Linked DNA regions of Daphnia pulex. The protein of the gene in region 1 interacts with the protein of each later gene in a pairwise test. Links are inferred from orthologs where the notes say so. Each region holds a gene or a part of one and is shown in the gene's direction. Other genes may lie near its edges.

Evidence for each region.
Region 2: the proteins of protein trachealess-like (region 1) and aryl hydrocarbon receptor nuclear translocator homolog interact in a two-hybrid assay, tested with the Drosophila melanogaster proteins (3 studies listed by BioGRID). The link is inferred for Daphnia pulex from reciprocal best matches to the Drosophila melanogaster genes trh and tgo.

The regions. Positions count from the first base shown.
Region 1 is NC_060024.1:9,200,881-9,217,472, reverse strand, and holds protein trachealess-like, read left to right. Parts: upstream 1-5,950; 5' UTR 5,951-6,485; coding exon 6,486-6,856; intron 6,857-10,259; coding exon 10,260-10,585; intron 10,586-11,172; coding exon 11,173-11,634; intron 11,635-11,722; coding exon 11,723-11,844; intron 11,845-11,926; coding exon 11,927-12,162; intron 12,163-12,234; coding exon 12,235-12,341; intron 12,342-12,407; coding exon 12,408-12,555; intron 12,556-12,622; coding exon 12,623-13,187; intron 13,188-13,251; coding exon 13,252-14,049; 3' UTR 14,050-14,948; downstream 14,949-16,592. UniProt on the Drosophila melanogaster protein: Transcription factor, master regulator of tracheal cell fates in the embryo, necessary for the development of the salivary gland duct, Malpighian tubules and the posterior spiracles.
Region 2 is NC_060018.1:4,544,257-4,559,278, forward strand, and holds aryl hydrocarbon receptor nuclear translocator homolog, read left to right. Parts: upstream 1-2,472; 5' UTR 2,473-2,991; coding exon 2,992-3,187; intron 3,188-3,266; coding exon 3,267-3,306; exon of another isoform or gene 3,307-3,613; coding exon of another isoform or gene 3,614-3,618; intron 3,619-3,685; coding exon 3,686-3,763; intron 3,764-3,886; coding exon 3,887-4,047; intron 4,048-4,114; coding exon 4,115-4,435; intron 4,436-4,505; coding exon 4,506-4,598; intron 4,599-4,654; coding exon 4,655-5,204; intron 5,205-5,289; coding exon 5,290-5,634; intron 5,635-5,692; coding exon 5,693-5,772; intron 5,773-5,837; coding exon 5,838-5,915; intron 5,916-5,975; coding exon 5,976-6,205; 3' UTR 6,206-7,259; downstream 7,260-15,022. Other genes in the region: NF-kappa-B inhibitor-like protein 1, read right to left, coding at 538-1,322, 1,382-1,691; PI-PLC X domain-containing protein 1-like, read right to left, coding at 9,175-9,744, 9,805-10,061, 10,139-10,267, 10,334-10,390, 10,480-10,577, 10,642-11,047, 13,211-13,301. UniProt on the Drosophila melanogaster protein: Heterodimers of tgo/trh are involved in the control of breathless expression. Plays a role in the cellular or tissue response to oxygen deprivation.

The DNA.
Region 1 (16,592 bases):
AATTCGTAGCGACAACAAATTCTGGTTGTTGTGATCCATATGGTATTTATTTTTGAAGCGTCTAGAGAGATGAGAGATATAATGTGGCGTAATAATACATCATCAGTCAGTGTAGGCCTACATCAAATCCGTATCGAGATTTCCTCCTACCGCTGCTGCTGCTGATGGCATATGGTTGTTGTTGGTAAACTGCGGTTAGGTGTCGGTTTCGACACCCCAGGGACCTGCTGGCAATAAGGCTTTTTTTTTCATGGAGCGTGCATAATGAAGGGATTCCCTCAACCCTGCTGATCCACCATGGCGAATGAGATCCATCCGAGAGGGTAGAGAAGAGAAGGAAAAAAATAAATAAATAAAACAGACAAAAAACAAAGATGACAGATCGATTTTTCTTTGCCGTCACAATTTTTCGGAAACGCCTTCGACCCGACCAAACTTATTTCTCATGGCGCAACTTTAAACCAAGTCAGAACATTTTTTTAAGGTCATTGTATAGCAATTAACCACAAATGAACTTAATGAATGAGCACGCAGACAACAAAGGATTTATTACGACATAAAGCACAAGCCTAAATGTCTGTACGTGTTAATAGCCGAAAAGATGAAATAAAAAGTTGGTGCAGCCTTTATTTCCGGGGTGTCTCTGGGTACAATTACTGCAACACCCTGGGTCAAAAGGTCTCGGTCAGTTGATCATACTTTTGATGAGTAACACACTACCCAGGGCCATTTCGTGTGTCCTGAGTGGCCGGTAGAAAATCCAAAGGGCTCCAGTTGGATCAACGGTTATGACCCTTCTGGTCTTTTGTCCCTTTTGTAGGGGGGAAATTGTCAAGTCCATTTGATCCTCATCTCGTTACTTTAAGTAACACGACTAGATGATTTGTAGACGGCGCTACGATTTTTGCTATTTTGATATTGAAACCCACCCGATTTTTCCCCTCCTTTGATGAAAGATCTCAACGAGTTCCATCAAGTGCTACCGCGACCGAAAGATGAACCTATTCACCCAACATTGATGATAATGTGGGAGCTGCCGGGCGACAGCAGACAGGAAAATCTAATTTATTCATGGCGAATGAGGCTCTTTTGTCCGAAAAGGCTGATTCCTCCGAGCCCCCCGGATCGTTGCAAGATTTTGATTCCATCCATAAAAGAGTAATCATCTTGGGTGGTTTTTCTTTTTCTTTCTTCCCTTCATCCTCGGCCATTTATCCTCTTTCTTGAGAGTCTTCCCTCACGCCGCGCTTCGTGATTGGACAGTTCCCTACACTTGCCAACGGTGGCGACATCCGGACGCCCAAGAAACTCCACCTACTTTCTTCCATGTTCGAAGAAGCGGGCGTGAGCATCGGCAGTCATGCGCTCTCGCTCTGTCCAGCCCACCCCCTCCCCAACTCTCCCAATGGCGTGGTATCACACGCGGGACTCGATCGTGCCAGAATCCAAAATCGAAATTTTCGTTTTTCAGTGAATTTGCCATTCGCCTGAAATATCAATTGACAAAATTCTTTGACTTTTCCGCCACATCGAAAGGCTCGTCATGAACCATGTCGGCAACACGTCCTCATGTACACACATCGTTCCCAAAGAACTACAATAATATGGATGTGCTGCGTACTCTACTCGGTTGTGTTGGAGAGTTTTTCTCAGCAGCTCTGATTATGGCGCACTGATTTGAAATGTCAATCACGCATCAAGGACAGATGCAGAAGAGAGAGAGAGAGAACGTGACAGTTGACAGCAAACATTCGACCGTTTTGATTTAGACTTGTAGCGTGCACATAGAAAAATAGACGGCGTCCCTTTTCCAGATAGATAGTACATGTCGGCGAAAAATTCAGCAGACGTGAAATGTGTTTATTCACAGATTGATACAAACTGTTTTACATGTCCCGCGCTCTTTGTGTACGTCTGTCATGCACCTACACACTATGTTCGACTCCCAAAAAAGCTGTTTGCATAAGAGGTGCAGTTCAGGTGTAAATAATCCCAAGTCGAGTAGTAGTAGTAGTAGTAGGCCTATAGAGAAAAATGGAGAGCACTTCGACATCAAACGAAGAAAGATTTTGGCCGACTCATCTTTTTGACGGGGTCCGTATTTTGTGCGTGATAAGCGGGACGGAAGGCACGTATGGCGGCAGCAATCCGGTTGATGGATACCCGGGCTCTTTTGTGGAGATGCGAGGGATATAAGCGAGCAGATGAAACACTGCAAAAGGCTAAGCGATGAGTCAATAGAGTACAGTGACATTTGTCCCATTTCATCATCATCTTGATCCAACTTGACTCTCCATTCTTCTGCCATATCTCAGTTCATCACGCGCCCGTGAACCGAAAGAGCAATATCCAACTCGATGCAGAGACCCTACTAGGGCTCGAGGGGAAGGAACTGGGAGTATGGGGTGGGGGGCGACGTGTGTTGTGGGCGAAAAAAAAGCCATTTGTCGTCGCTGGACTTATTGGTTAAGTATTAGCTTATATACACAGCAGCAGCAGCAGTGGCACAACACATATCGAACATCGTTTATTATCTAGAGGTCTGCCCACGGCTTTGGTCTGTAATGTATGTGTTAATGCGTCGTTAACAACCTCATCAAACCCCCCTTTTTTTTGTTGTTATCCCCTCCTATTCAACCAACCACCCCTATCCTCACTGACCACCACACCATAAATGTACGTAACACTTGCGACCCCGAAACCCCTTTCCTTTCTGATATTGTTTATCGCCGCAATTTCCAGTTTCATTTTCTGCTCACTGGCTGCAGCTCATAACACGATTACATTGAATAACGGCCATATATTTACGTGATCACTGCCCAACACCCTGCTTTTATTCCAATCAAACATTAGAAAGAAAGTCCGTTTAATGCCCATACGTTAAAAAAAAAAGGTAACAATCAATGCGAGAGTTGAAAATCATCTGCAACCTCAGCATGACCATTTATAGGTCCAATTGTACTGGGCCGGTGCGTCCGCTGAGCCCAGCAACATCTCACTTGGTAATAATAGAGTGATTGTGTGTGTGTGTGTGTGTGTGTGTGTGTGATGCGGCTGTTGACACGTGACCTATAGAATAGAAGCGCGGGCGACGACGGTCATGGGTTTAGTTCAACATCATTAGTGCCTTATTGAAAACCATCATCTGACTCCCGGCCAACTTTTATTCTTGGCTTTCTTTTTCTTCAGAATTTGTTTTTTTCTTTTTTTCTTCTTCTTCTTTTGCTGCTGTTTGGTGTGGTCGTCGGCTCTTATTGTTGTGTTGATGTTTTTCCCTTTTTTTTTTTCATTTCATCTTCGTCGTCTCTCGTATATTCTGGGCCGTCTCGATTGCTTGATTCTGGCCTTTCCCGGCGATCAATTTAATTATGACGACGTGATGAGAAATAGTAATTCGGGAATGGAGGGGTTTTTCCTCTTTTTTATATTTATTTATTTTTAAAATAATATTCTCGGGTCAGAAGTCGGACATTGGGATCGCATCGCCACTAATTAAAACGCGGCCAGTCATGTTATAGCCAATGCCAACTGGAAATGTCGTCGGAGAGTTGACGGAGACCGGATCGTGACATCCGCTTCAATCATTTGAATTGATTTGTTTTGATGAGCGATGATGGTATTATCTAGGCAACTGTAGTTTCGCTGATGAAAGAGATCTCCCCCCATCTTGAATAATTGCCGGTAAATAATTGAGCGTCTTGTCACACGCATCTTAATTCAAACAGGATTGAGGCAACCGTGAAAAATTGGATGACACCGGTATGTATATCCATTCGCTCCGTCAAATAGACGAAGATTGATCAACGTTATTAAAACGAAATTATAATTATATACGCTGCGCATTTAGAAAACCAAACCTGCCCTGTTTGCCGCGCAATCGAAAATTGAATTGAATTCACTCAAAAAAAACTTGTCTCAATCGAAAATGTCAATAATGCTAGTCCGATTATTTTTGCCACACCAAAACCACCCCCGAAAATTCCCCCAAACCGATACATGTTAACGAATGAGCGATTTCAAAGCTCGGCACTGCTCGTGCAACATATTTGAATTACCCGAGCTAACCTAGTATGTAAGCACACGAGCAGAAGGGAAAGGGGGAGTGAAATGACACAAGAAGAAAAATTCTAAAGGTCTGCCATGGGGGGTAATCAAGGTCTATTGGAGGGTTCGTTGTATGTTAGCTGATGGCCAGCCTTCTGGTTTGATCGAAAACGGAAAGACCTCGCCATGTATTGACTATATGGTCGCAAATCCAATACTTGCATATACATAGGCCTATACGTATAGCAGCCACTGCCGTCTTTTTTTTTCTTCTTTCTATTCAACCCCCTTTTTCACCCCCCTCACTAAATCCCCCCCCCCCCTCTCCTTTTCCTGTGTGTGTGTACTTTTGATCCGTCCGCATCCAATATTGCGAGTGTGAGAGGCGGGAGCACGCGCGCGCAGTGGCGATGGTTGATGTGTGTAATTGCATTGAATTTCCATGAACAAATGAAGGGTTCTTCTTCTTCTTGGGTTCCTACCACGGTAGCCAACTTACACATACGCGGCGGTTAATTGCTCCTATATGTACGACGCTGCGACGTCGCCGTCGTCTCTATTTATAGAGTGGGAAAGAGAAAGAGAAGCGCTGATGCGCTAGTGGGTTTCGATTTGATAATACAATTTGATTGGCTACCGTTTGCGTTTGTCGAGTTCATCAACTCTCCTCTGACGGACGTACCCACCCACCCCATTCTGTCAATAGCCGGAGGTTCCTCAGACTCCCGTCCCGTGTTTTGACTATACAGCGCATGTTTCTAGTGTCGTTGTGTTTTATGATTGTGTGTCATTCTTTCGATGGCAATTTGTAATAATAAATGTCTTAACTGACCGAGACGAATTTCCAGTGCGGCTATTATTTTTTTTTTTCGTTTGCGATCGGACGTTTCACGCCGGCGTGATTCTACTCTATTCCAAGTACGTGCAACTGTGGGCGTGCGAGTGTGACGGGAAATATAAATAAGTCTCTCGCTTTTTTGTTTGTTTGTTTGTTGTTATCAGTCGTATAGAACGTGTAATAATAATCACAGCACGTCGGACTAATACCGGGGAATCTTCTTCTTCTTGGCGTCGCTGATATGCGTGAAGCCATGGTCATTTAGGAAACAAAAGACGAACGGTTCACACGACATCTCCAGTTTTATTTTTTATCCGATCATCTTATTGATCGGCTGATAAACATCTCCAGACATTTCCTGTTGTTCGAAGTGTGTAAATATCATTTCTTTTATTTTTATTTGTACAGTATGTTATAATGTTCCATGGCAAGCGGCCGATATCAGGTCCCATGTCCTCGGGTAGAAATAATACTCGTATAAACACTTTGTATGGTATATCCGGAATCACTAGAGCCGGATACGCCTTGACGCGGCTAATATAGCCGACCAGAAATCTCTCACAGTTTTACACCACCCAACTGAGGAGAAGTGGGCCAAAGAGTCCCACGACCAATCTAAACTTGAAAACAGAAACGTGTAGACATTTTTTGAACGACAAAGTGAATCAAAGTTTTTTCTCTGGGATTTTTTTTGTCTTCTTCTATTTTTATGATTGATGCGGATATTTGGTGTAAAAAAAACATTACTTTTATTTTATTTCTGCTAGCGGAATTCCGGTTGTGTATTATCTATAAACGATAGACGCGGTTGTTAGTTTTTTTTTTGTCTGACGGTCGAATCGACATTTTGTACAAGACTCAACTGACAAGCGTCGACGAAATCGATTGCACATGGGACTTGGGATTTGTGGACTCGCGTTTTCCTTCTCGGCCCGTCTTTATTTAGTGAATCGAGTAGGAGGAGAAATGGGGGGGGGGGCAGAGGGTGGTCGGGAGTAGGCGGAGGAGGGAGGTGGGGGCGGATGAAGAACGAGGCGCTCATACCAAATGGGACGGATGAGGAGTCGACGGCGACAGTCTCCATCCCAGTGGCTAGCAGTAAGTGCGTACCTGCTTCTCTCTCTCTCTCTCTCTTTTTCTCTCTTTCTCTCTGTTGAACTACTTGGACTGCACAGCCAAATCGTGCTCCCGGTGCCGGACGAGTTGTTTGATCAGCCCGGTCACATTCGGAAGAAAAAGGGCGGTTGAACAACGGACGGGCTGCAGGGCGGGAGAGAACCTTCACATCATAACAAATACCTAGGGCTCCTAGCTCCTCCTCCTGTTTTTTTTTTTCTTTTTCACGTCCTTCGGTTTTTGGGGACTGGAAAAAGCGGAAGCAAGTCAGTAGTCCACCCTCCGTTTCGAATCATTGATATGCAAGAGCATCCGGCTACTGGACAGTTGTAGTAGTGACCTGGTCGGAATCGATGATTCGAATCCCTGCGCCCTCCGGAATTCAGAATTCAACTTGAACGGGACAGTTTCTTTTGCGGTTGGCCCGTTTTCTTTTTTTTTCTTTTTTCGTTTTCTTTTTTTTACTTCCGTTGTGTTGTTGCCCGTGATGGCCGGTTACGCTCTGGGCTTGTGCGGAAGAGCCGCCGCCACCGCCGCCGGAATCCGCGATCATTTCAGTGCTGACGAGTCTTCGTCCGCCTCTTGGATGGTTCTGCCGCCATATTCGCATCATCAATACCCTGGCGGTCCAGGAAGTTTAACGGCAGCGGCGGCCGCCGCCGCTGCCATGGCCGGAACCCTGGTCGGTCACGCCAGTATGGGACACCACCACTCGGCCGTTGCGGATTACTCCGCATTGGCTTCGTCGCTCCAGCACCAACAGCAGCAGCAGCAGCAGCAACAACACCAGCAACAGCAGCAGCAACAACAGCAACAACGTCGCTCACCTCTCTCCTCCGCTGCTTACACTCATTCATGGTCAGTCCGGAAGAACACGAAAGCGTCCGCATTTTTCACGTAGTTTTTTTTTTTGGTTTTGGTTCGGCTAGATATTTACAAATTCGGATGAAATCGCCCGTCTCTAGTGTGCATGTTTTTTTTTAAATTTTATTCCAGCATCGATCGTTGATGATCGCAGAGATTAGCTTCCGTCGACAGTGATGGAATTTCGTCCATCAGTTTCTCTAATTTATGGCTATTTCGTCTGATGTCTAGCCATTGTCTGAATCGCTTTATTTTCTAGAGTTAACTGTAATGTTCTATTCGTGATAGCCACAAACACGACCGAGTTTGGAAGGATGGGCATTCTTCTTGGACAGATCTGTCGGTAGAATAAGGCATCAGTAAAAGAAGAGAGAGTGGGAGTTCACAACTGGGGAACGAAATGCTAAGTTGATTTATTGAGACCCAGCAGCCGGGCTGTGCAGGTCTTTTCTCTCTCTCTCTCTTATCTGTGGACTTGTTCTTGAGCCATTTGCAACTGGCTCTCAAGTGGTTCCACGGCCATCACACGGAACGCAGTACATAAAAAGAATCAAGAGAATAGAAAAGACGAGAGAGAGAGAGTATATAGTGTACACTACTGCTGTACTATAAGAGGGGGGCTGACGGATAATCCAATCGTCCAGTCGCTAGCTTGTCCTCCACCCTCTGGAGGATTCCGCCAACATCACACTCCAGGATTAACTTTGATGCCAGAGATAGAGCCATTCGTTCATACATGATGGATATATATCTCTCTCTTCTTTTTTTTTCTGTCTCTCGGCGCGAAATCAACGAGCCTAGAGGTGTCTGTCCGGCTGGGATCTAGCAGGCTAGACGCTCCGGAGCGGCAGCCGAATCTTTCGGAAGCAATATGGCGGCTAATTTGGTTTCCCTTTCTCGTGTGCTGTATATTTTTATTTCCCTTCAGCTGATGGCTCCTTTTACTTTGGGCCTTTTTTTGTGTGTGTGGGGGAAGAGGAGGAGGAGGGTGTTATTGTTACCCTGGTTGGGTGTATAGATGCTTTCTCCCTTATGGATATTATATCCTCACGAGAGTATATCATGACCAGGGCGATGCGCATTTTTGATCACTTCATTCAGCTCTCCATCTAGGCCGTCGCATATAGGCCTCTATATAATAGTCTACCAATTTGATTGTCCAAGACTTGGGAGTCTATATAGATGTTTCATTTGCTTCGGCCTAAGCCTTCAAATTGACCTATACGGTGTGATCTACTGATGTTCGATATCATGTGGCTAGCGCCCAGCTAAATCAATAGGCCGCTATATCCCTCCGAGCAACTTTTTCTTTTGATCTTTTCAACAACTTTGTTGCACTCTGTCACTCCCCATCGATCTACACTTTGTATGCGTTCGTCATGGGCAAACACTTCGTCATTTGAAATGTATATATTTTTTTTAAGGAAAAGTCTGAATTCAGGCCATTTGCGTGTCCGATAAGGATTAGTCGATGATGAGGCCAAAGCGAATATTTTAAAATGAATTTACTGCAACCATTTTCGATTTATTATTTTCGTGACTTCAAGAATATTATTATTGAAGACCGTTAGTTCAAAAGGGAGAAACATATTGCGTAACTTTTCCTTGTATAAGTTATTTGAATTACGTACGATGTACAAATTTGAGCAAGAGGAAAATAAAGAAAAAAATATCAGTTATGGCATGTTGGAATATGCTCATATTCAATTAGCCTTCCATTCAAGTATGCACGTGGGAGGTGGCACACGACGTGGTTTGACGATGTGACAGTTCATCTACTGTCACAACAGAGGCGGACGGCCGGCAATTTCGCTGGTAAGGCTATCACATTTTCCGGTTATAGGATGTGTGTGATTATGTATGCGCCTACAGGCTGTATTGCATACGTTTATACAGGTGAAACATAAGCTGCCGACTTGCGTGGATCTGTAAGGGATATGAAGAATGGGGTGAGCTGTCGCTCAAACGCAACAAACGGCCCCGGCGGAATGGTCGCGCATTTTGAGTGCGCCTTGTTGTGTTTACAGCTAACACCGACACGTGCCCCCCAGTCACCAATCCTCCCCTCTTGCCCACTTCAAAAAGTCCCATCAAAGAGCTCATTGAAAATCGGTTGATGGAACGATCCAACTTCTCACACCCACCTACAAAGATCCTTATTCTTATTATCTCAATCGCCATCTATTTCTTGAAAAATAATAGACGATCTCGGTGATACCATTTGGAAAGAGAGCCCAACAATAACTAGAGGTTCATAGAGACATTGTGTACGTGTTATAAATGTCATTTTCAAGCATAGGCATATGCTGTTGCGATCGCCGATGGAAACACGCCGTATTTATTATTAAATGGACATGGGGCGTCTATTATTCATGTGTACTTGATCATCCTTTTGCCACCCTAAATATGAGGCAGATATGCGCTTTGTGACTAGTCCTACTTCATTTACATCTGAATACCCCGGCAATTATTGATCTGACCCTATATGCCCTGGATATCAAAACGACCCCCTTCAGTCGAAGGGTGTTATTGTGTAGGCCTTGACATTGCTGTTACATCAATAGGCCTCCTATATGCGCCAACGTTTAACTGCTGCTGGTACAAATATGATCCGCTGGTCTTTTTTTTTTCTCTCTCTCCAGAATAATAAATATTATTCTCTTCCTTCTTATTGCCCGTGTCATTCCACCCTTCGTACGTATATTTCTCCGCCTGTATTCCGTCGGGAACCGTTCGGTGGTCCGGATCATTTCAAACAACGGGCCAGCGTTTTATTTTATATACATTTTTTTTACTCCCCCCTGTTGGAGGATCGACCCTGTTGGGACACACCCAAGACGCAATAGTCATCGCACGGTTCGAAACAGCGGCGACCATTGAGCGGACAAGCTCTTATATAATAGACACAACAGAGCATCAAAGAAGGCGAGTTCTATATAACCATGACAGGGGAGGGGGAGGGTAGACGACAGGTCACAAGTGTGAAAACAGCCGTTTCACCACTGTATGCCATATTGGGCAACCCGCAATGTACGAGTTGCCCTACTCCCCCAAAAGACCCATTTTGGAGAACGACTGCTCAAGCCTGTCGTCTACTGAACCAACCTTCTTATATTGGCTACCGGTAGTACTGGCTTCAAACCGTTGACATTTGATTGCGTCGTCCTTATTTATAGCTTAGGCAGAGTATAAAAGAGAGAGAAAAAAACACACTCGTAAACGGTTTACACCTTTAGCAATTGAGTGACCGAGACTGTGGAAATAGCTGAGAGACTTTTGATTTGGTTGATAAACCAGTGGTGGAAATTTTTGACGACATGATCTGCATATTTAAACTACCGTATGTTCTATTTCATAGAAGCCAATATTCATGATTGCCCTTTTTTGGATGATTTAGTATATTGGAGATGCGTAAAGAGAAATCACGAGATGCGGCGCGGTCCCGTCGCGGCAAAGAAAATTACGAATTTTACGAACTGGCCAAGATGTTACCTCTTCCGCCGGCCATCACTTCCCAACTGGACAAGGCGTCCATCATTAGGTTGACTATATCATTCCTCCGGCTGAAAGATTTCTCCAGCAACGGCGACCCGGCCTGGATCAAGGAGTCGCTTTCGTCAATCTCATCCGCCAATTCAAATTCTTCGTCAAACGTAACGTCGTCCACAGGGTCATCGTCGGCATCAGGATCCTCTTCCTCATCATCGAACAAGGCCAACAAAGGTTAGTATATAATGTTCATGCGTAGGCCTATAAGTTCATTAGAGACTTTACAGTCTCTCCTGCTTGTCTGTCTGGGGGTAAATGCAAATGCCAACTTTTCCACTGATTTGATCAATTAGTCAAAGTGACGAACTAATCATGACATACGCGCGTCATGAACTTTACTACCCAGTTGTAGCTTTTTGGACAAACGAAGGGACGTTAGGAGGATTTAGTTTTCACGATTGGCTGAACGATGACAATCCATCATCACGTTGAATTGAATCAATGATGCCCCCCCCCCCCCCCCTTCGGTTTTCTCTATATTACAGTCGCACCAGCACACAGACAGACCACAGAGAGAAACGGAACAGTAGAAACCCCCCAACCCGAACTTTTGTCAGTCTCCCTTCTCCTTTGTCATGGAAAGTTGAATTCGATTACCTCTCCCTCCCTCGTGAACAAGTGACGTTCGAATTCTGACATTTACAGTAACCACAGTAGGTTAAAAAATCGGGTTCAAAACCAAAAGGCTTTCTATTATACGAGGACTCTGTTCATTTGATTATCGATAAATTAAAACACAAAATTCAAACATTCGTTTATAGGTAACAGTCGTTCGAGATCCCACCAACATAATCAACACCAGCAGCAGCAGCAGCAGCATCCGCACCACCAAATGCAGCTGCAGCAGCATCAACAACACAACTCGATACCGGCCAACATTCACGTCGAGTTGTTCGACCAGCACCAAGGCACGCACATCTTGCAGAGTCTGGACGGCTTCGCTTTTTCCCTGGGCTCCGACGGACGATTCCTCTACATCTCCGAAACGGTGTCCATCTACTTGGGCCTGTCACAGGTCGAGATGACCGGTAGCAGTGTCTTCGATTACGTCCATACCGCAGATCACGCCGAATTGGCCCAACAACTGGGCCTTACACTGGCCACTAATCAGACCCACCAGTCTGCCAGTTCTTCTGCGACAAGCTCGTCTCAACAACTGCCACCGTCGCCTGCTTCTGGCACTGGAAGTGTTGATGATGGAAACTCTTGCATGAATCCTGATGGTATTACTATTATTATTATTTTAAAACTTGAAATCACAAAACTCCTAATCTAAAATTAAATTTTTTTATAACGAAATTGCCAATATAGTGACTTCGCTGATGAGTCTTGAGAGTAATTCGGCCTATCAGGGCCTTGACCGTTCCTTCTGCATTCGAATGAAATCGACACTAACGAAACGCGGCTGCCACTTTAAATCGTCCGGCTATCGGGTAATTGATTGTTGGGTTTTCAAAATTAAACAAATTCAATTTCCTTAATATTTCATCACGTCATTATTTTTGAATTTTCAAGGTGGTGATGGTTCTCTGTCGACTTCGGCCACAAAGCCAAGCGTATACAGCCGGTAAATCCGGAGTTGGGCAGCCGAGTAGTGGCCCGCAAGGCCAGAACCAACCGGTTCCTTTACTCGGAATGATTGCTATGGCTATTGCCCTACCACCGCCCACCGTTCACGAAGTTCGGCTTGAGCCGGACATGTTTGTTACGCGACTGGCATTTGATTTGAGGATCATTCACTGTGAACCAAGGTAAACATCCAAGGCAGCAAAAGTTTTTAAAAATAAATGTAATGCTATATCGGGATTCTTTTACTTAATTAGGATTGCTGAGCTCCTGGAATTCGTCGCTGAAGATCTGACAGGCAGGAGTCTTTATACTTTATGTCATGTGGAAGATGTCCGCCTATTGCGTAAAGCCCACACTGATTGTAAGACTCTCTAATTATTGATGCGAAATTAAGTTATGCTATTATCCACGTATTTTTGTGTGTTAGTGATGCATAAAGGACAGGTGATGACACCCTACTACCGGATCCTAAATCGTCACGGAGGATTCACCTGGATTCAATCTTGTGCTACAGTAGTTTGTAACTCAAAGAACGGTGACGAACAGAGCATCGTCTGCGTCAACTACGTTCTCAGGTAACAAATACCAACCATTATTTGTTAACTAAACTGGATAATTAATCTGTTTGATTTGATTTTGAAGCCGAACGGAAATGAAAAATCTGGTAGTGGATCAGTGCCAGCTGGAATCGGCGCCCATCATCCAAATTAAACCAACCATTTTCAAAACCGATCACGGTGCGTCGGACGTCCTCCATAGTTCGCCGGATGGGTCCAGTTCCGAAAGCTCGGAATCTTTACCGAAAAGCGGAACGACTTTGATCGATCCGCATCGATCGTCCGTGCCGAGCTCCGAACAGAGTCGGCCATCTTCCGAGGTTGAAGTAGAGGTCGTTACGGCTCCACCGGAAGAATCTGTTTCGTCGGGAATGAGGACCAGTCGCGGTCCTTCCGGGCGCCATCACCACCATCGATCCGCAAAACGAAAATACGAAGATCTGGTGTCGGTTCCGTCAGCGACCGACAGTTCAATGATTGGCCTAGACAACAACAATCAACATCATTCCACAGACAATTCAAACAGTAACGAGAGCGCATCCATCCAAGATCAGCAAAATCCCAACACATTGACGGATCACCAAAGCGAAGTCGACGTGGCTCGCTGGAAGAGGCTTTACGCTGGTGCCATGGAAAACGAATCTCTTCAGGTAAAACTCTTGTCAAACGATTTGAAATGGCCAGTCGAGCTAAAATTGTTTATTTTTTTTTTAGGATCGGGACCTTGATGGAAATGGACTGAATGGAAATACCACAGATTTCAGTACCGATGCACTTCTTTCAAACGGTAAGCCACGATCGACTATTCAATGGATCGGCGCTCCGCCAGTGCCGTCGGGTTCGACATCGTCAGCTGCGACGGCCGCTGCCCTGTCGGTTCCGTCGTTGCTCCGCCAGCTCTACGCCAGCAGGGAGAGCGTTATACGCGCCAACGTTCACGCAGCTGCGGCCGCAGCGGCCGGACGCACTCCGTCTGGCTATTTTTCCAATGGAGAAACGCTGCCGACTCCACCTACCGGCGTCAACGGTGGCAATGACTATCCCGGTGACGTCTTCCCGCCTACCTCTTCTCACTCTTACCACTCCGCAGCCACCGGAAGCTTTTTACCGGAATATCTGCCGGCCATGACACCTCCGTCGTCAGTTTCGCCTCGCGACGCAGCCGCTGGCGCTCTTTTCGCCGCCGAGGCTTCGTTACGTCATTCGGCGTACAGTGGTCTGGGTTCGGCGGAGTCTTCCTACTCTGCCAATCCGACACAACCACTGGCATTGAAGCCTCACCATCACGTCCACTATGGCCATGGTTCCATCGAACATCACCACCATGCCCACCACCATCACAATTCAGGCGGATCCCATCATCAGTATGCTTCCGTCCAGCCCCTGGTGTCCGCCGACGCGGGCCAGTTCTATTCTCATACACCTTCCGGCTTCCACCTCTACCATCCGCAGGTGTCCAAGTCCTCGTCAGCGTCTTCAGTCAACAATTCAGCCACATGGTATCCCAACTAATGTCGATTCAATGAAATCAGGTGCTTTATTGCATGGGTTTATTATTCCGAACAACAAATTGATTGAAATCATGATATGTTGAATTGAAGTGCAAGAATTGTTGTGAGTTGATTGAGATCCGAATAGTAATATGTTTATTGGGTAGTTTTTTTCCTTACGTGTAATGTATTCGAATTCACCTGAATTTCATTGAAGAGTCGGCGTGCTAATTCTTGCCTAAAACGAACTACACAACGTCAGTTCTCCCAACAAGATGTGTATTAAAAAAAAATTATAATAAGCATAACGCCATCAAACAATAAGTAATCGTGGCCCTTTAAGTAAATAATAATCCGACAACATTCACATGATTTGGAAAATGTTCAGTGACTAGTCTTTGTCCCATTAAAAAAGAATTCCATGTAGCCAGTTATATCATGAACACATAAACGTTGTGCTAAATATCTCTCTGAAAAATTGTACTGTACATTTATTCATACAGTTGTCATCAATCGTTAGGCTTCTCCCCTTTTTATTGACAACGGATTGATATAGAAACTTGATTGATTTTTTTTCACTGTCTTGTTATTGACGTGCTTTGAATAACCATGATGAACGCGGGTTGAGACGAGAAAACAATCGTCAATTGAGTTAGTGTGCAAATCTGCTATAAAAATATAATCATTTTAGTAGAGTTAAAAACCGGCATGCACTAAAATCTATGACTTATTTATTTCATAGACAACTTGCAAAATCAACTTTCTGTGTTCATGTCCTCCCTTTACTTTGAATGTATGTGAATCTTTTTGTATACATCTCTTATTCAGAACAAAATATCTCTGGCTTAATTACTACTGTCAGTTCGTTCTTTTTTTTTTAAAATTTTTAATACACACACCTATTACGGATTCGGTACCCTCCTTCTGGAATTTGACTGCATCTGACTTTCACCTCTTTACTGCTAATCACTAGGCCTACTCTGAATCTGAAACCATCGTGAATTTTCTTTAAAGGAAAGGATAGGGCGAGCCATACGATTTCATTTCCACTCAGTACAGATTTCTTCTTTGTCTATATTTGGGTTGCTGACAGTAGAACTCCAAAGAACTACACCGACAATAGAACCGTGCGTTGGCCGCGGACGACGATGATTATTCCGCGTTAATCGTAGCGATTGAATCCGGGTTTCCTGACCGTCGAGACCGCGCACCCGCCGCAGTGGGAAATTATTGGGGCATCCGGCACCAGCTATCAGTGGACCATGGTATTGTGTTGTTTGGTAAACGGATCGTGATCCCTCAGGCGGCCCGGAAGAACGTCCTCAAAAAGCTCCACGCGGCCCATCAGGGGATCGTGCAGACGAACAGGCGGGCCCGACAGACTGTATACTGGCCGGGCATTACTAACGAAATCACAACGCTTCTTCCCACCTGCTCTACGTGCCAGGAACGTTTGCCCAGCAGCCAGCAGGAGCCTATGATGTCCGACCCCTTGCCGACACACGTGTTCGAGGACGTTTCAGCCGACCTGTTCCAGTCGGGTCAGCTCCATGTGTTGGTTTACGACGACCGATTATCCGGATGGCCGGTCGTCCACAGATGGAAGCGGGACCCAACCGCGCGGGAAGTCTTGCACGCTGTCATTGACAACTTTGTCGAACTTGGCGTCCCAATGCGTTTCCGTTCCGACATCGGACCTCAATTCGACGCTGGAGTTTTCCGAACAGCCATGGACCGATGGGGTGTCGCCGTCAGCAATTCCACGCCAAACTACAGTCAAAGTAACGGCCACGCAGAAGCGGCCGTCAAAGAATTGGTCGAGAAAATCTCCCCATCCGGGGACCTAGATGCGGAAGAATTTAAACATGGGCTCCTAAAATTCCAGAACACCCCCCGGGAGAACGGACTGTCACCCGCGCAAATGGTGTTCGGACACTAGCTTCGTTCGATCGTCCCAGCCGATCGTTCGGCGTACGCGACGTGCTTGAAATCCGTCATGGAGGCGAGGGATCGGCAGGCGGCAATCAACGCGGACTCCAAGACACGCTACGACCTTCGCTCGCGTGCCCTCGAATCCCTGCCAATCGGCACCAACGTGCGCGTGCAGGACCCCAAATTGAAGCTGTGGAGCCATGTAGGTGTGGTCGTGGCGATCGGACGCTATCGCGCATATCGTGTGAAATTCGCGAGCGGCAGTGTGTTGTGGAGAAACAGGCGTTTCCTGCGCCGCCTGGTGAACGCCGAAGAAAGTGAAGAGAGAGACGCGGATCAAGCGCTCACCGACGAAAGCGACGGAAAGGATGGCGCGCAAACCGACACGGAAGAGCCCGGCAATGACAGCCCGAGCACATGCACTGGCCAAACGAGAGCCGCGCCCCGCGCAGGTCTTCCGACTCCGCGCCGTAACGGGCGCCGTCGAACGCCGAAATTAATTGTCTCCGTTTAAAACCATTCCCATGTCCCTCGATGTATGTTTCGCTTCAACATTCCCATCTGGAAAATGCGTGCGGGGTATTTTTCTTTCTCGTATACCCTTGCAGATTATCATGTGGTTTCGTTTGTTCT
Region 2 (15,022 bases), on another chromosome or scaffold:
TATAACTTCTACTCAGCCAATTAACAGACGACTAATCGCTCCATCTGTTATATTGAGAATCCATATCTACTTTTTGCGATCAATTATTCCCGTGGGTATAATAAACGCATTACTTTTCCAAGATAACCCGTACATATAATTGTTTAAATTTTCGATTTAAGTCTCATATCACGTATTCATTAGTTTTCCTTTTCATTAATCATTGAAAAAAAAAATGATTAAGAATTGATTAGGTGAACAATATAGGGGAATCGTACAACGTTGCACGGTTTAAGCAAAGCGTTACTTGGTAAGTTGCTGAAACCTTCGGAAACTGTCTTGCGGGGTTTTTCAAGAAAATTTCGTTTTTTCTTTCTATTAAAATCTAAAAACAAGAAACAGGTTTTCAACGAAGGCTCCGAATTCCGGTTTATCTAATCTACTGTGCTTCGAACGCTTGTTAAAATAAAAATTGAATTTGATGGTTTTTAAAATATTACTTTCTGGAAAATATTTAATGTTTTTTTTTATTTACACAGCACAAGAATTTTGTCACTTTCACTTGTTAGTGACTGTAGAAACGCAGTTAAATGCATTCAAATATTGAGAAATTTCAGTAACTTTTTTCATAACATTTTCACGTATTTCTTCTTTTAAACGCACGCCAAATTTCTGAGAAAATTTATCTGGATGCCAAAGTCGCTGCAGCTCGCGCAATGCCTTCCTCTTGGCGTCAGGATCTACCAAATCCTTGACGTGCGCCAATATAAGTTGTCCAATCGATTCAACATCATCTGTGGGCTTAAATGGGAGGTCTGATATTTCAATTTGATCTTCAGTTTGAATCAACAAACTAAGTTTGGTAAGGAATGTAGTAAGCTTTTGAGTAGCTTTAGCCTTTTTTCGAAATTCATTCCGCATTTCTTCATCCCGCAAGAATTGCTGTTGATCTTCCGTAGACCAGGATGGCTTCAATTTTGGTGGGGATGGTGGTGTAATATGAAACTTTTGATATGACATTTTTTTCTTATGCTCATCAATCATTCTTTTGGCCCAGGAGTCATAAGATTCTGTTTCATTTACATCCTCTTGAACAAAATCTTCTTCATATTTTCCCCAGTGACTTCCATATTCATCATCTAGTTCTGCTGAAAGTTTCTTCTGCCATTCTTTTTCATCTTTCTGTTGAGAAAACTCTGTCTTTTTTTCATTTCCTCCTAAATGATACTCATAGACAGAATCAGCAAGATCCAAAAGATCTTTGGCAGTTTGGCCTTCCAGATTAGGTTGTGTTAATGAAACAGCCATTTCTTTAAGATGAGCAAGTATCATTTTCCTGTAAGCTAAAATATTTGAATGTACTAGTTTCTTTATTTACTATAGATTTCGAAAAATAACTTACCAGTTAAATATTCATTTCTCCCGTCAATTTTCATGATAGCTTTCAATGCCAGGTGAAGTGGTGTGTTGCCCTTGCAATCCATTGAAGTTGGGTCTCCAAGAGAATTTTCCAACAAGAACGCAACAATCTCATGTTTTCCTTGTCGACACGCCAGATGTAACAATGTTTCTCCTTTTTTGTTGACACCTATCTCGTCCAGGTGGAGTTTAGCATACTTCCTTCTTCTTGCGTAATGTTTCAGTTGTTCAACATTATTGGATTTAACGCAACTGATCAGCCTGTCAAACCGCTTCTTCGTTTTCGATGACATCGGAAAACATAAATAAAAACCAAGTTGTCTAAGTTACAATGTAAAGATTACGGAAGTAAAGGAACTCGAGCTTTTCTACATTTTTATTTTTGTTTTAATTCGTCTGCTATTTGTTAGTGTTGCCATTTGTTAAGTTGCGGATTAAAGTTTCGTTGACAGTCCAATAATTTTTCAGAACCTATCACAAAAAAATATTTATTGAAATTTGATACTTTGAAAAATTTATATCAGTTTTTAAAATAAAGTTTTACCGGTCCAAAGTTCGATTTGGAAAAGAATCAAAAAGTTCTCTCCCTCTTCGTATTCCATGTTGCCACGTTCAGAGAAAACATGGCGCTAGGCGTATTGTGACGCGAAGAAGTTGGTTTCTAGCTCTACGCAGTGAAAACTGACATTTTTAAAGTTTATTTGCACAGATAAAGCAAAACTACAAATAGTTTGTGTACAACACGTTTAAACTGTGAAGACTTGATCGGAGAAGGTCTAATTCGGAGTATTGGGAGGAATCTAAGGTTGAGGGACATTTTTGACAGCTTTGTTCCTTTTTCCTTCATGGACATCCATTTAGCAGGACTTCATCAACTGTCTGGTAATTGCCTTTAGGTTTATTTGTTATCAAGAAATTGTATATCTTAAAAATCTGTTTTTATCACGCTTAAGATGTTTTACTATGTACCCAATTTTATATTGGGCGTAAAGCCAGGGGAAAAGCTAAAGTGCATTATACCATTATAACCAACCACTTAAGTGATTGAATGTAAAGCAGAATAGAGATTTTCTTACTAGTGTACAGGAAACATATCTAAATTTTCTTATTTTTTCAATTATCAAATGATTATACTGTAACATTGTGTTTACTACTACCTCAGATGGGTTTCCCGCAATAACCCTAGTTGTGTTTAATGTAGCTCAAGTTAATTTCTTTATAATGGGTTCAAGAGTTCAGTGTGCAAAAGAATTTATTCAGCAGGTCAGGCACCTTTTTCCCCTCATTCCCACATCTATTATGTCATTAGGCAACAAAGCAAAAGCAGCTTCCCTTATCTTCCCCTGATTGTTTCTTTGTTTCAGATCGTGTATAAAACGTCTCCTTTTCGCTGATGCAAAGGACAAATAGTTTCGTACAAAAAAAAAGGTTTTGTTTTCATATCCGCTTTAATAAACTGGGTTGGATGATTTGCGATGTTATCGATTTCTAAGTTATCAGTTGCGTGGGAAAATGTTAGCTTGAACGTTAGTTGCGGGAGAGAAAAAGGAAAGCTTGCTTTCAGCTGCTGAGGGTCAACAGTCTTCTTGGGGCATGGATCTATCGCCTGAGGCAAAATTTCCTCTCTTCTCCCGTCAGTTTTATCTCGTTTCCATGAGACTTAGACTTGAAAATTCTTTTCACGTTTTCGTACTCTTCACCCGTGGATTCCAGTATCCCGCGTTCATCCGCTCATTAAGTTGTCCAACCTCCCTTTTTTTTTCTTCTTTATTGTCTGGTTGGTTCCATGGTGCGCACGTTTGCTAGATGGTAATTTATGAAAATGAACTGACGTAATGTCTTCTGTTGTTTGCTTGTATTTCTCACAGGATCAGACTGTCGGCAAAAAAGGCAACCCGATTCTCTTGGGTAAGTCCTCTAGCGCACATTCTACCCACTACCCAACACAGGAAGATTGATCACCATCAGAGTCGATTGTTGTTGCTCAGCCGGAACCGAAAAAAAAGCCATTTTCCTAAATAGTAAAGATCAGACAAAGACATTCTCCTCCTACCGGCCTCTTCCCGTACAAATATTCAGTCACGATTCGAGATAGAAGCGTTCGAACTTCGAGGTCAACATTTAAAGAATTCTTTATAGAAGTACTGAAGGCATCCGCATCCGACTTGCGCGAGTGTTGCCCATTTGTGATTCACAAACTTTTGTCTGTGATCTAATGCAGTAGTGTTTTACTTATTTAAAAATGTTTGAGTGTTAAACGTTTTCTCATTTTCTTCACTTTGATCAGTTCGGACGACGAAGGAAGTACCAGCAAATTCGGCAGGATGGAGGACGACAATATGCAAGACAAGGAGCGGTTTGCCAGGTAAGAATTAGCACCTAGTTGTACACAATTGTGAGACGTCTGTTCCTATTAGGAAAGGGTCCGATTAGTTTGTAAGTGTCGAAAAGTCTGCAGATGTTGTCCGCCGCCCTTTTATTTTTTATGTAGGGAGAACCATTGCGAAATCGAGCGCCGAAGGCGCAACAAAATGACGGCTTACATCACGGAGCTGTCTGATATGGTGCCCACTTGTTCAGCACTGGCCCGCAAACCAGACAAGCTGACGATTCTTCGAATGGCTGTAGCCCACATGAAAGCTCTCCGAGGTCTGATTTTCTACATTGCCAATCACGGACTTGTTCATTACATTTCTTTCTTGTTTTCGTTCAACAGGAACGGGAAATACAAGCGCCGATGGGACCTACAAACCTTCCTTTCTCACGGATCAAGAATTGAAGCACTTGATTCTTGAAGCAGCCGACGGCTTTCTTTTTGTGTCGGCTTGTGACACTGGCCGTTTGATTTACGTTTCCGATAGTGTGACTCCAGTCCTCCACCAAGGTCAAAGTGACTGGTTCGGCTCTTGTCTGTACGACCACTTGCATCCGGACGACGTGGAGAAAGTCCGTGAGCAACTGTCTACCCAGGAGCCTCCTAATGCCGGTCGTATTCTCGACCTAAAAACAGGAACGGTCAAAAAAGAGGGGCATCAATGTAAACATTTTTTACCATGAAATTTCATTGATTTCTTTTTTTAACCACTTCATTTATATTTCAATCGTAGCATCTATGCGGTTATGTATGGGTTCGCGCCGAGGGTTCATCTGCCGAATGAGGTTGGGGCAAGTGTCACCAGATCCTCTTACATCACCACCAGGTAGTAGTGTATTGTTGAACAACTTTGTGAATTCTGTTGACACCATTTATCTTCAGGCCCTCTACATCGACTACGCCAACGTTCCGCCTTAGGTCCCTCGCGCGATGGCCATCATTATGCCGTCGTTCATTGCACAGGATACATCAAAAATTGGCCGCCTAGTGGCGTACCGATGGATCGAGGAGTTGATGATGATTCTCACTCTGGATCTCACTGCTGTCTAGTGGCCATTGGTCGCCTTCAGGTCACTTCTACTCCAAATACTTCTGACCTAGTTGGATCCAATTCCGCCGCAGAGTTCATCTCACGTCATTCGGCTGATGGCAAATTCACTTTTGTTGACCAGCGTGCACTCAATTTGCTCGGCTATTCTCCTCCTGAACTGCTAGGCAAAATCTGCTTCGATTTATTCCACCCGGAAGATGTCAGCCATATGAAAGAAAGTTTTGAGCAAGTTCTCAAACTGAAAGGCCAGGTGATGTCGGTCATGTACCGATTCCGATCAAAGTCGCGTGACTGGATCTGGCTTCGAACATCTGCGTTTGCTTTTTTGAACCCGTACACTGATGAAGTTGAATATATCGTCTGCACCAATACGTCGGCCAAGTAAGTCCACTTGTTTTCAGTTATGATATTTTTCTTTTCTGTTCATCTAGACTGAATTTGTTTGTTTGTTTGTTTTCCTTGTTAGATCTTTGCACCATACTGGTGATGCGACTGTTTCTGGAGAAGTTTCAGGAACAGTAGTCGATCCCACAGCTGTTGGGGCGACAAGTAGTGGGTTGGTGTCTGCCTACGGTCACGCCAGCCAAGATTACGGACGAAGCGCACGTGAAGTTTATCATGCACAGTCGCTGTCTGAAGGTCAAGGACGCCCGAATAGTAATCAGACCATGTATAATCCTTCAGCTGCTGCCTCGTCACAGTACGAAACAGCGTCAGCACAGTCTGTCGAAGGTTCATCCAATTCTGTGTTGAACCGAATACCCTCGGGTAGCAGTACGAAACAGTCGCCAAGCCCTACCGCCTCGGCAGGGTATGATAGATGCTTCATTCAATTTGTCTTGTTCTTATTAAACAATTTCTCTCCTTAGAAGTACTGCCTGGTCAACACACGCTACTGCACCGGGTGGCTACTCCGCTTACGAAGGAATAAGCCCATCAAGATCTCCAGGTATTTTCCCCTGACAAATGAAAAATATTGTACTATTCTTAATGTTATTTTATAATGAATGGCAGGAGGAAGTTCTGGTCCAACTTACACGCAGCTAGGCAGCTCTGCAACAACTGGCCGAGCTGGATACCACCAAAGTTCAGGTAAATTGATTTATTTGGTTAATTATTTTGAAAGCTTATATTAAATGGTAATTTAAACAGGACTTTGGCACTGGCAATCACCCGTAGTTCCTCCCGCGGAATCTAGCCCGAATAACGGAGGTCCCACTGGCGGAGGGGTTGCAGGTGGTGGAGTTGGTGTGCCAACTACATCATCGGCCAGTCATCCTCCTCAAGGATCTGAATTAGTGACGGACATGCTTCAGATGTTGGATCACTCTGGTGCGTCAGGTTTCGAAGATCTGAACATGTTTTCGTCAAACTTTGAGTAACGTTAAACCCCTCCCCCCTCTCCCTCCCCCTTAAAAAAATAGTTGCATCTTTTGTGCTCCTACTACATGTTGTATTGTTGAGGTCATTCATCTCCATCCTTGAGAACTGTTGCCGTGCACTCCGAGCGTATTTGTTTTTACCCATATGTCCCTCCCCACACCCATCAGCATCGGAGCGGCATGCCATATGAGTGCATTTTTTTTTCCTCTTTAAAAATTAAATTTGTTTTATTATGCATTGAGCATTGTAAACAAGGGCTTTACTTTTCCAGTTCTTTATTTTAACGAATAACGTCAGTAAGTGGGTCTCAAATTCTTGACCAATAAGAAATCAGCAGCACCCGAATGTTTTATAGTTCAAGAGCTGGCCCACCACGATCCAATTTGCATTTCTTTTCTAAAGAGAGAATTAATGCTGTTTCATGTTTTGTCAATTTTCTTTCAAAATTGATTTAGTTTGGTAGCTTTTTTATTTCTAAATGGAATAGTGCAAGTTTTTTTTTTAATATGTATGAATGTTAATCTTTTTTCTTTCTTTCTGTTTCATCACGTATTGATAACCAACCCCTTGTGCTCATGATTGAAATTGAGCAGCTTCTTGAATGTGAAGGCGAATGGGATAACCTTCCTTCTTGTCGAGACAATCGTCACCTGTGGCGTTCCGTTTACACACTCACCTTCTCCCTCAATAACCCTAATTTCTTCTCAGTAATTTGTAAAACTGTCAAGTCGTGAAAGTGGGAAGAAAAGTTTGAGTTGGCTTGTTTTACGATCTCGTCGAAACATCATGCCATCATATCACCTCTCTGTTTTTCATTTTCGTAAAGATCAAAATACCTAACTTCACTTATCTACCCACCACATGTACTACCCTCAACCATTTTTTTTTTTACTTTCTCCATTTTCCCTCTCCGTCTCTTTTAACAGATAGACAATACGTGAACCCATTCCTATTGTGAGCTGCACAATCTTGATCTAGTACCGTCGTAATATCGTAGACTCGAAACATGCAATTATATATTTTATGAACTTGAATGAATGATGTTGTCTATGACTTTTCCTCGGTGTTGTTTTCTTAATTTCCTACATGGCGAAACCAAACGAATCTTAACGAGGTGGCTAAACCACAACTGTATATGCAATGCGTCCTTCGGAGGGAATAACGCGAAAAAACGTTTTACGCAGTTTTGTTATCCGGGCGTAGTGTATTGACGTAAACAGTGGACTACATTCCCATCTGACATTTTAGCTTCCATTTGTCACACCTGCAGGATAAAGAATCACACGTCAAAGAATGGTGCGATTTGCAAAGCAGTAGAAATTTTGGTTATCCTTCTACAACTCCTCCATCCTAATTTTGAAAACGATTCTGGTTTTTGTGGTTTTTGGAAAGAGATTGGTGGGATTTTGTCCCCGTATCTAAGACGCTGAAAGGAAATCCCGTGGTAAATAAACGACCACATTGTACGAACATGCTAGCCAAGATTAGCGAAAATGAGATAGGTTAACAATTTCTTACGTATGCCGAATGACGTACAAAATCACGTCTTTTAGCTGGGAAATTGAAATAGGATGTAATAATGCCCGACTGCGCGGCATGCGTACATACTTTCCCGTTTGCCAAAAGAATGGACGCGCACTTTGGTTGTTGTACAGTTTTCACTCGCGGGACCCGTTCCGCTTCCACCTATGCTACACTGACACGGATTTCCTACATGCTCGCTCCATTCCATTCGGAGGCTTGATTGCTAACCGATTCAAGAATATATAAGATGCGGTACGAGCCGTCGATCCATCAGAACGGTTTTCTTCATTGGGAACGACACTTAATCCCACTTAGTTTTTGTTTCGCCGCTCCCTGTTTCGTTCCAGTCCAACAATCATGAAGTTTTTAAGCATTTGCATTGCTCTTTTGCCTACTGTTTGCGTTTTGGTACCTTACTGCTTTGCCATACCGTTGTTGGAGTCTGTACAGCACAACGAAAGTCTCCGCATTCAAGGAGCGCAATCATCGCAAAGAAATGTCGATGCAGTTCAACTGTTTCCGACTGTTTCCATCTCCACTGAAGTCGAGGACCTGGGTAATCATTCGGAAACTCTGTGTCCTTTCCGCGTGGAAAATAGAACGTTGGAAATGGATCATCACCTAGGAAACTTTGTCATCGAGTACACCGAAATCGTTTGCCGGGGATCGTGTAAGCATTGCAACGCTGGCCGCAGTTGCAAGCAAATTATGACGCTGCTGGAAATCAATCTCAACAACACTGTTACCGGACTGATGGAAAATGTTGTCTCCACTGGCGTCGCGATGGGCTGTACCTGTACTCCTGACGATTCCGGAGCTTCCGGCGAAGACATCCCTTAGAAACTAAATTTTACCATCCGAGTCTATATTATAATTCAATAAAATCTCAAATTTGTTATTTATGGATAACCGAGTCATTGTTTTGGTGGTTTAATGTACGAAGACTTTTTGCATTGTTAATGAATGTGTATATGGTTTTCTGATTGATTACTGTTCCTGTGATTTTTAATTTATGATTTCAATAAGTTAAAGTGTTCTAATATTGTTGAGTTTAATAGAAATGTCCTTCAAAGACAAATTTTTCACTCCTTGCACTGACTGTCAATCCTGCCAGTCACATCTGTAATTAAATGGTTAAAAAAGTGTTTTCACCTACAAATGATATGCACATCCTTATATACCCCATCACTTAAGGAAATTGGCAACATGTTCTAAATTTTATTTGGTGGATTTATTCGAGTTTTTGCGTGTTAAAAATTGTAGGTACGGAAACAACACGAACAGAAAATAGCCTGAATCGGTTATTAATATTAGCTAAATCATGACAAACAATACAAGCAATAACACTAATAAATACAATCAAACGTGTCGTGTAGTGGGTTTGCTTAAAACTGGGTTCGATATAGTCATCATCACCGGGGTATAGATTAAAATAATTGCATGTTCAGTTTAAATTCGTAGTGGTAATAACCGGTAAATTTGGCGCTACGATTGCTGTCGTGTTATTCTTGGGCCTTCGTCTGCGTGCAGTTATTCTCGGTGAGGGACTGGTCGTGTCTAGACTTATAGGGGTCGTTTCCGAAGTCGATTCAGCAAAGTCGAGGTTACGAGGCCCTAGATAAAATCTCCGTCTATCGGTTGCTGTCGACCGTTCTTCCGCTGCCGTTTGCTGGATTGTCGTGGCACTCGAAAGGGTAGTGGGAACTACGCTGGAGCAACGAGCACGTTTGAGACTGGCGTCGATAGCCACGTCGATGATATCGGTAGAATGGAAAAAGTCGACAGCGGCGATACTGGTCGTCTTCCACCAGAGATCACGATACCAAGTCGTCACGTTCCTGGCCACATTATCCGCCAATTTTCTGAGCCCGTCATTAGGACGAAACAAAACGTCCATTGTTGATGGAGTCAATTCTGCCATGGCAGCCCAAAAGTAATCGGAATCGAATCGCTTGTGATCAATAACCGACAAATATCTGTAGAGATCGTCGACGTTTCTTTTGTCACCCCATTCCTGGGCGCAAAGTCTAAATGTTATTCACAATTAAACAGAAATAAATAAAATTAAACGAACCTGAGGAATGGATGGCCAAAGGAAAGGATGAGATGAGCGGGTCCAATCATCCGCATAGACAATGATAAGAGTTCGATTGATTGCCCACAGATCATTCATCGTCGTCATGGGGCCGAAGCTGGACGGCACCATGTAATCGCCCAGCTTATCCGACAACAATTTAACCAATCGGTCGTGAGTTTCTCTGTTGCGCAGTGTGTTTTGACTGAAGCCCACTGGGAAACGGTGGAAATCGAGAATGACGATTTCGCGTGTCACTGTTTCAGAAAATAACCCAAAACTGATTAGATATTTTTAAGTGAGTTGGTTTGAAATTATTAAAAGATTCGAGAACCTTCCAAGAAATTTTTCAAATCTTCAATTAGGAAACGGAGAGGATTGACTCGGGCGTAGTTGTGATTCAACCAAAATTTGTCATCCCTTTCTGGGTAATAGCCGACACGAACATCGAGATATCGGATTCCTATTATAATAGGCCAACATTTTTGTTATATAAGGTCGGTTGAATTCAATAGAAAATGCTCCTTGCCGTAGGATAGCGAGTGGAAAATGTCTTCATCTTGGCAGATTAGATATCGCATGAAAACTCCAGGGAATAAATGGAAAACGAGGTCATTTTCAAAATCCAGCATAAAAAACTAATTGATCGATATTAAAACTGCTAGGCCTATATACCTGTATCGCTTGAATGGCCGTTGTACGGACGATAGCTTCCGGAATTGTGTGTACCCGGAAGGAATAGTTGGTAAAGAGGCACAGAACCGAGTTTTTCCCTGTCCCAAGTGTAACCATAATGTGTGAAGTAACGGGAAATGACTGAAACCCAATCGAAATTACCTATTTTGCCACATCCACGAAGGACGAAGTTTGATGCAATTACTGCTGACGGTAACTCCGTTGCGGACGTAGCCGATCCAGAAGCCGAGGCAGGACGAATCTCCAGTGAAAAGATGTCGGTCGACGGCGGGGAATCCGAACTGAACGTCGGTTTTGTGGTAGCCGCTGTTCTTTCCTGTTGCCACAGCGATCTGGCGGAGCGGAAGCGTCGGGTTGTTTGTAGGGTCGTGCTCATAGAGACCAATCCAGTCGCCGGGTTGAGAGGCCGCTCCATTGCCGTGCCAGTTGAGTTCGATTTGCCTCTGCTGGCTGTTACCACCGGGCAAACTCTTGGCCAGCGGCGATAGTGTTAGGAATACCCTGGGACTCTCGGCGGGCGGATAGAGCGGACTTGTCCAGCATTCCTCTGAAAGAAAATTACATGCAGAGCACACATAGATATGTTGACGTCCAATTGATAACCACGTCAATACTGTTGATCAACCTGTCAATCGCGAACCCAGTAAAGCCGTTTATCTGACGGACGCGCGTCATCCGTGCAACAACCACCGTAACCTTATCATTACGGTTCACATGTTTGTTTGGTTTATTCCCGTGTCAATAATATTTTTGGTATCAATTTCTTTTTTTATTATTATTTTGTTTGTTAAAATGTCAAGGAAATCTGAAGCAAACACCAGCAATAAGTCAACCACCACCACCTTTCCCGACGAGCTGCGGTCGTGGTAGTGTATAATAAAAATGGAAGATAAGCGGCACGACGGGTCGACACTATAAGGAATTTGAATCTCTGAACTCTTCTTGATTAAGGGTAGCGACGCTGATTCTCGGCGATAGCCAAATCGACGATGTTCCCACCCAAGAAGAAGTCCAACGACACAATGTTGGCCAACTCTGACCAGCGATCACGGAACCAGTTGGTTACGTTACCTGAATATTATCGAATAGACATTTTGAGATGAATAATAATAACACGTTCCAGTTGCCATTTGATCATTGGCAGTTATATATAAATAATGGGAATGAAATCATATATCACACGATTGACGAGGTCCGCTGCGTTGCGTAAACCGTCGAGCCGATCGGTCATGACGTCGAGCGAGTTGGGCGTGAGTTCCGACATTGCAGACCATGGTCTGCAATTGGCAATTGGAATTTGCCTGCAGGCGAATTGCCCTTGAGCAGCGTCTTCCATCACGCCAGTCAGATAAGACTCCAAGTCTTCCACGGTATTGACGTTGCCCCACTGATGTTTAACGGCTGGCCAAAAGTACGGCGCGCCAACATGATTGGGATCGTTGTAAGTCACGATCAATCGTTTACCCGATGACCAGAAATCGTTCAGAGTCGCCTCCCAGGTCATGTCGGCCGGGGCCATCCACTGGCCGAATTCCTGATAAAGGAGATCTTGCAGTTCCTGGTGGGCTCCCGGTTCTTGGTCCAAATTATCCACGCCGTGGATGTCAAAAATGACAATCTCCTCCGTTCGGCTGATGAATTCACGGACGAGCGCCGTGTCGTTGACCAGTGGGCGCAAAATGTAGGATCCGTGGTGAGTGTAGAAACGGACATCCGCGCCGTTGGGTAGGTTGGGCGAGAAAATGATTCTCATGTCCAAATAACGGACACCGAACGAAAGCTGATGAAAGAGATCTTCATCCTGGGTGGGGGCGTATAAGTTTTTAAATGATTTAAAAATGTCTTTGGCCAAAAGTTTCGATTGTTTTCAGCCGGAGAGACCTTTTTTAAATTCATCAACTAATTATTCGTCTACGGAGTACGGATAATAAAACTTGCCTGAGTAATAGCATATTTGGTATCAATTTGGTCTGAGCTTAGTCCGGCATATCGTTCGTAGGCGGCCGCATCGTGAGTGCCGGGCAAATAGAGCTCCCTCAATTTGGCGGCGCTAATCCCGGTGTCTTTGAGGTCGGCCATCCAATTGGGACGGGCTCGGAGGCAATTACAAGCGACAATTTGGCCGTCCAGGCGGACATAAGCCGCCCAATAATATTGACAGCGCTCATCAATCAGATCTCCAGCTACCCAATGAGGCATGTTGGAGTTGAGACGGACCCAGGAGGCGTTGGCCATCTCGGCGTCAATCGTCGTTTGCTCAATCACCGCAGAGCCCATCGATTGGCAGAAAGATGTCTCGGAAACATACTGGTAGAGGACTATTTGATCCCCCTCTTGATATCCTCCATCAATGGACCACCAGGAAATCTCGAGTTGCCTCTCCTGGATTTGCCCGTCAACAACCCGAGCCAAAGAGCCGACCCCAACCGACAGATTTGGCATTATGTTTGCTTTGCTATTAGATGACGCTCGGGATTGTTTGAGCGTTCGATATCCACCACCTTATTTATTGTGCGCCCATCGGTTAGAGTTATGGGAAAGCGAATGAAACCAAAAACCATAAAAATGAGAAAATCAAAAAAGAAATCAGGAAGAAAATCATAAAAAATAAAGAAGGAATGAATTTAGGAAAACTCGCAAAAGAAAAGCGAATAGGACCCGTGCTGTGACGCAGTTTCCAGTATAGCAGGAAATCATTTGTTATGTATACCTGTTCCTCCTGGAGCTGCTGGTAGGGCGGACGATATGACGCAGCCGAATAACAGCAAAGACGCAATCAATGCAGACCGATTTTCGGACATTTCCGACGGATGTTTTTTCCTTATAAAGCCAAGGAGAAAACAAAAGACAACAAGTTAAAGCTCAAGTCGGTGATCTATTGGGTAGGTCTGATATTATCGATCTGAAATGCGTGACGCCCTTGTTGGTTTTTCTTATTATTTATTCTCTTTTCGGTTGACAGAATATCCCGTTGGAAACAAGGTTCTTAATGTTCTCCCAACTGGAATGTGATTGATATGGTAGTAAATGGGACAGAAGAAATTCATAACTCCAGAAACAATAAAATTCGTTCCGTCTCTGTTGTACTATAGTATTCCCCATCCATCCATCCATCCAAAAAGGAGCGTGCGCACTCGAGACGCATCACAACAAAACAAGACCACAACGACTTTTTAGCAGCAGCTTCCCATCACCCCGATAGCCATAACCAGTCCGAATAAGAGTATCAACAAAGCGTATATATAACGATGTACGGAAAAGAAAAAGAAAAACTTCAATCGTCAGAAAATCGACTGCTCTAAAAAAAAAGAAAAAGAAAACTAAAAAAGTTAAAACTCACTTGACGAGTGTGACGGTTGCCCTTCCGGGTTGTGAAGTTTCCGAGATGAAGAAATCGATGGAGACAACAAAAAAAATAAACGCTTCGATGGGTTTGGCTGCTGGTCGCCTTTCGGAAGTGGAACTGTTGCGACGAGAAGCGCACACACACACAACACCCGTCGTATTGAACGGCAGAAGGAACAGAGTCAGTATAGTAGGGGCGATGGAGGGTAAATTTGGCCGACGAGACAAGACACGCAAACCGTGAGGAGAGTCGATGCGGCTGCGCAAAGAGCCGCCCTCCTCCGAGACTGCGATAACGAAAAGACGGCCAGTCTCTTTCTGTCTAAGTTTCCTAATTATCTCCTTGACGTAGAGAGAGATTACAGCTGCTCTGCACTTGAATTGTTCAAGAGATGTTGGCTGCGCTTAAGACGAAAAGAAACAAACACACCCCTACACGCCCCCACTGCGCACTAGAACACGCCAACACAACGTCATTACGCAAAGTAATCAAGGAGATGAGAGATGATGCTTGCTTCTCTAATTTCCTCAGATGCCCATTTAAAAGAAGCGCAATTTTTATGCCGTGTAGAAATATAAACCACCGGTTGGCGAGAGATCCGTCTGCCGCTCCTCGAATCACGGCACTGACGAAGCCAGAGCTACGGTTCAACATTGTATAGTTCTCCTGCTGCTGGTAGCTGTCTGGTATAGATATATACTCGGAGGAGGAATACGAAAAAGGAGAAAACTATTGGCCAGCACTTTTGCAGGTCTCTCTACCTTCTTAATTCCATCTACGCCAGTCCATCTTTTCTCGTGCATGTTGTTTGGTGTGGAGGTTTTTAGTGCATAGACAGGAGATAAGTTTTTTCCGATAAGATTTGACCGAAGCCCGTATGGACGACAGCAAATGCTAAAAGAATTTCGCCGTGACCTGGTATGGTCTGATAAGTATCGGAATTTATTTTGGGGGAAAATCTACCGGGAAAATTTCTCACCTCTAGAATATTGTAAAATAAAATTGGGTAACAAAATGAATGACGCAATCAACGTCCTCGGGGTGAATTCCGGACTCTGATCTGAACTGAACAGCAGAAAGTTGAGACTTACGGCATGCATTATTTCGATTCCTTCCGTTATATTCCGGCCATTCATTGGCATATTGGCATGCTACCAATTCTCAACAGTTGAAGAA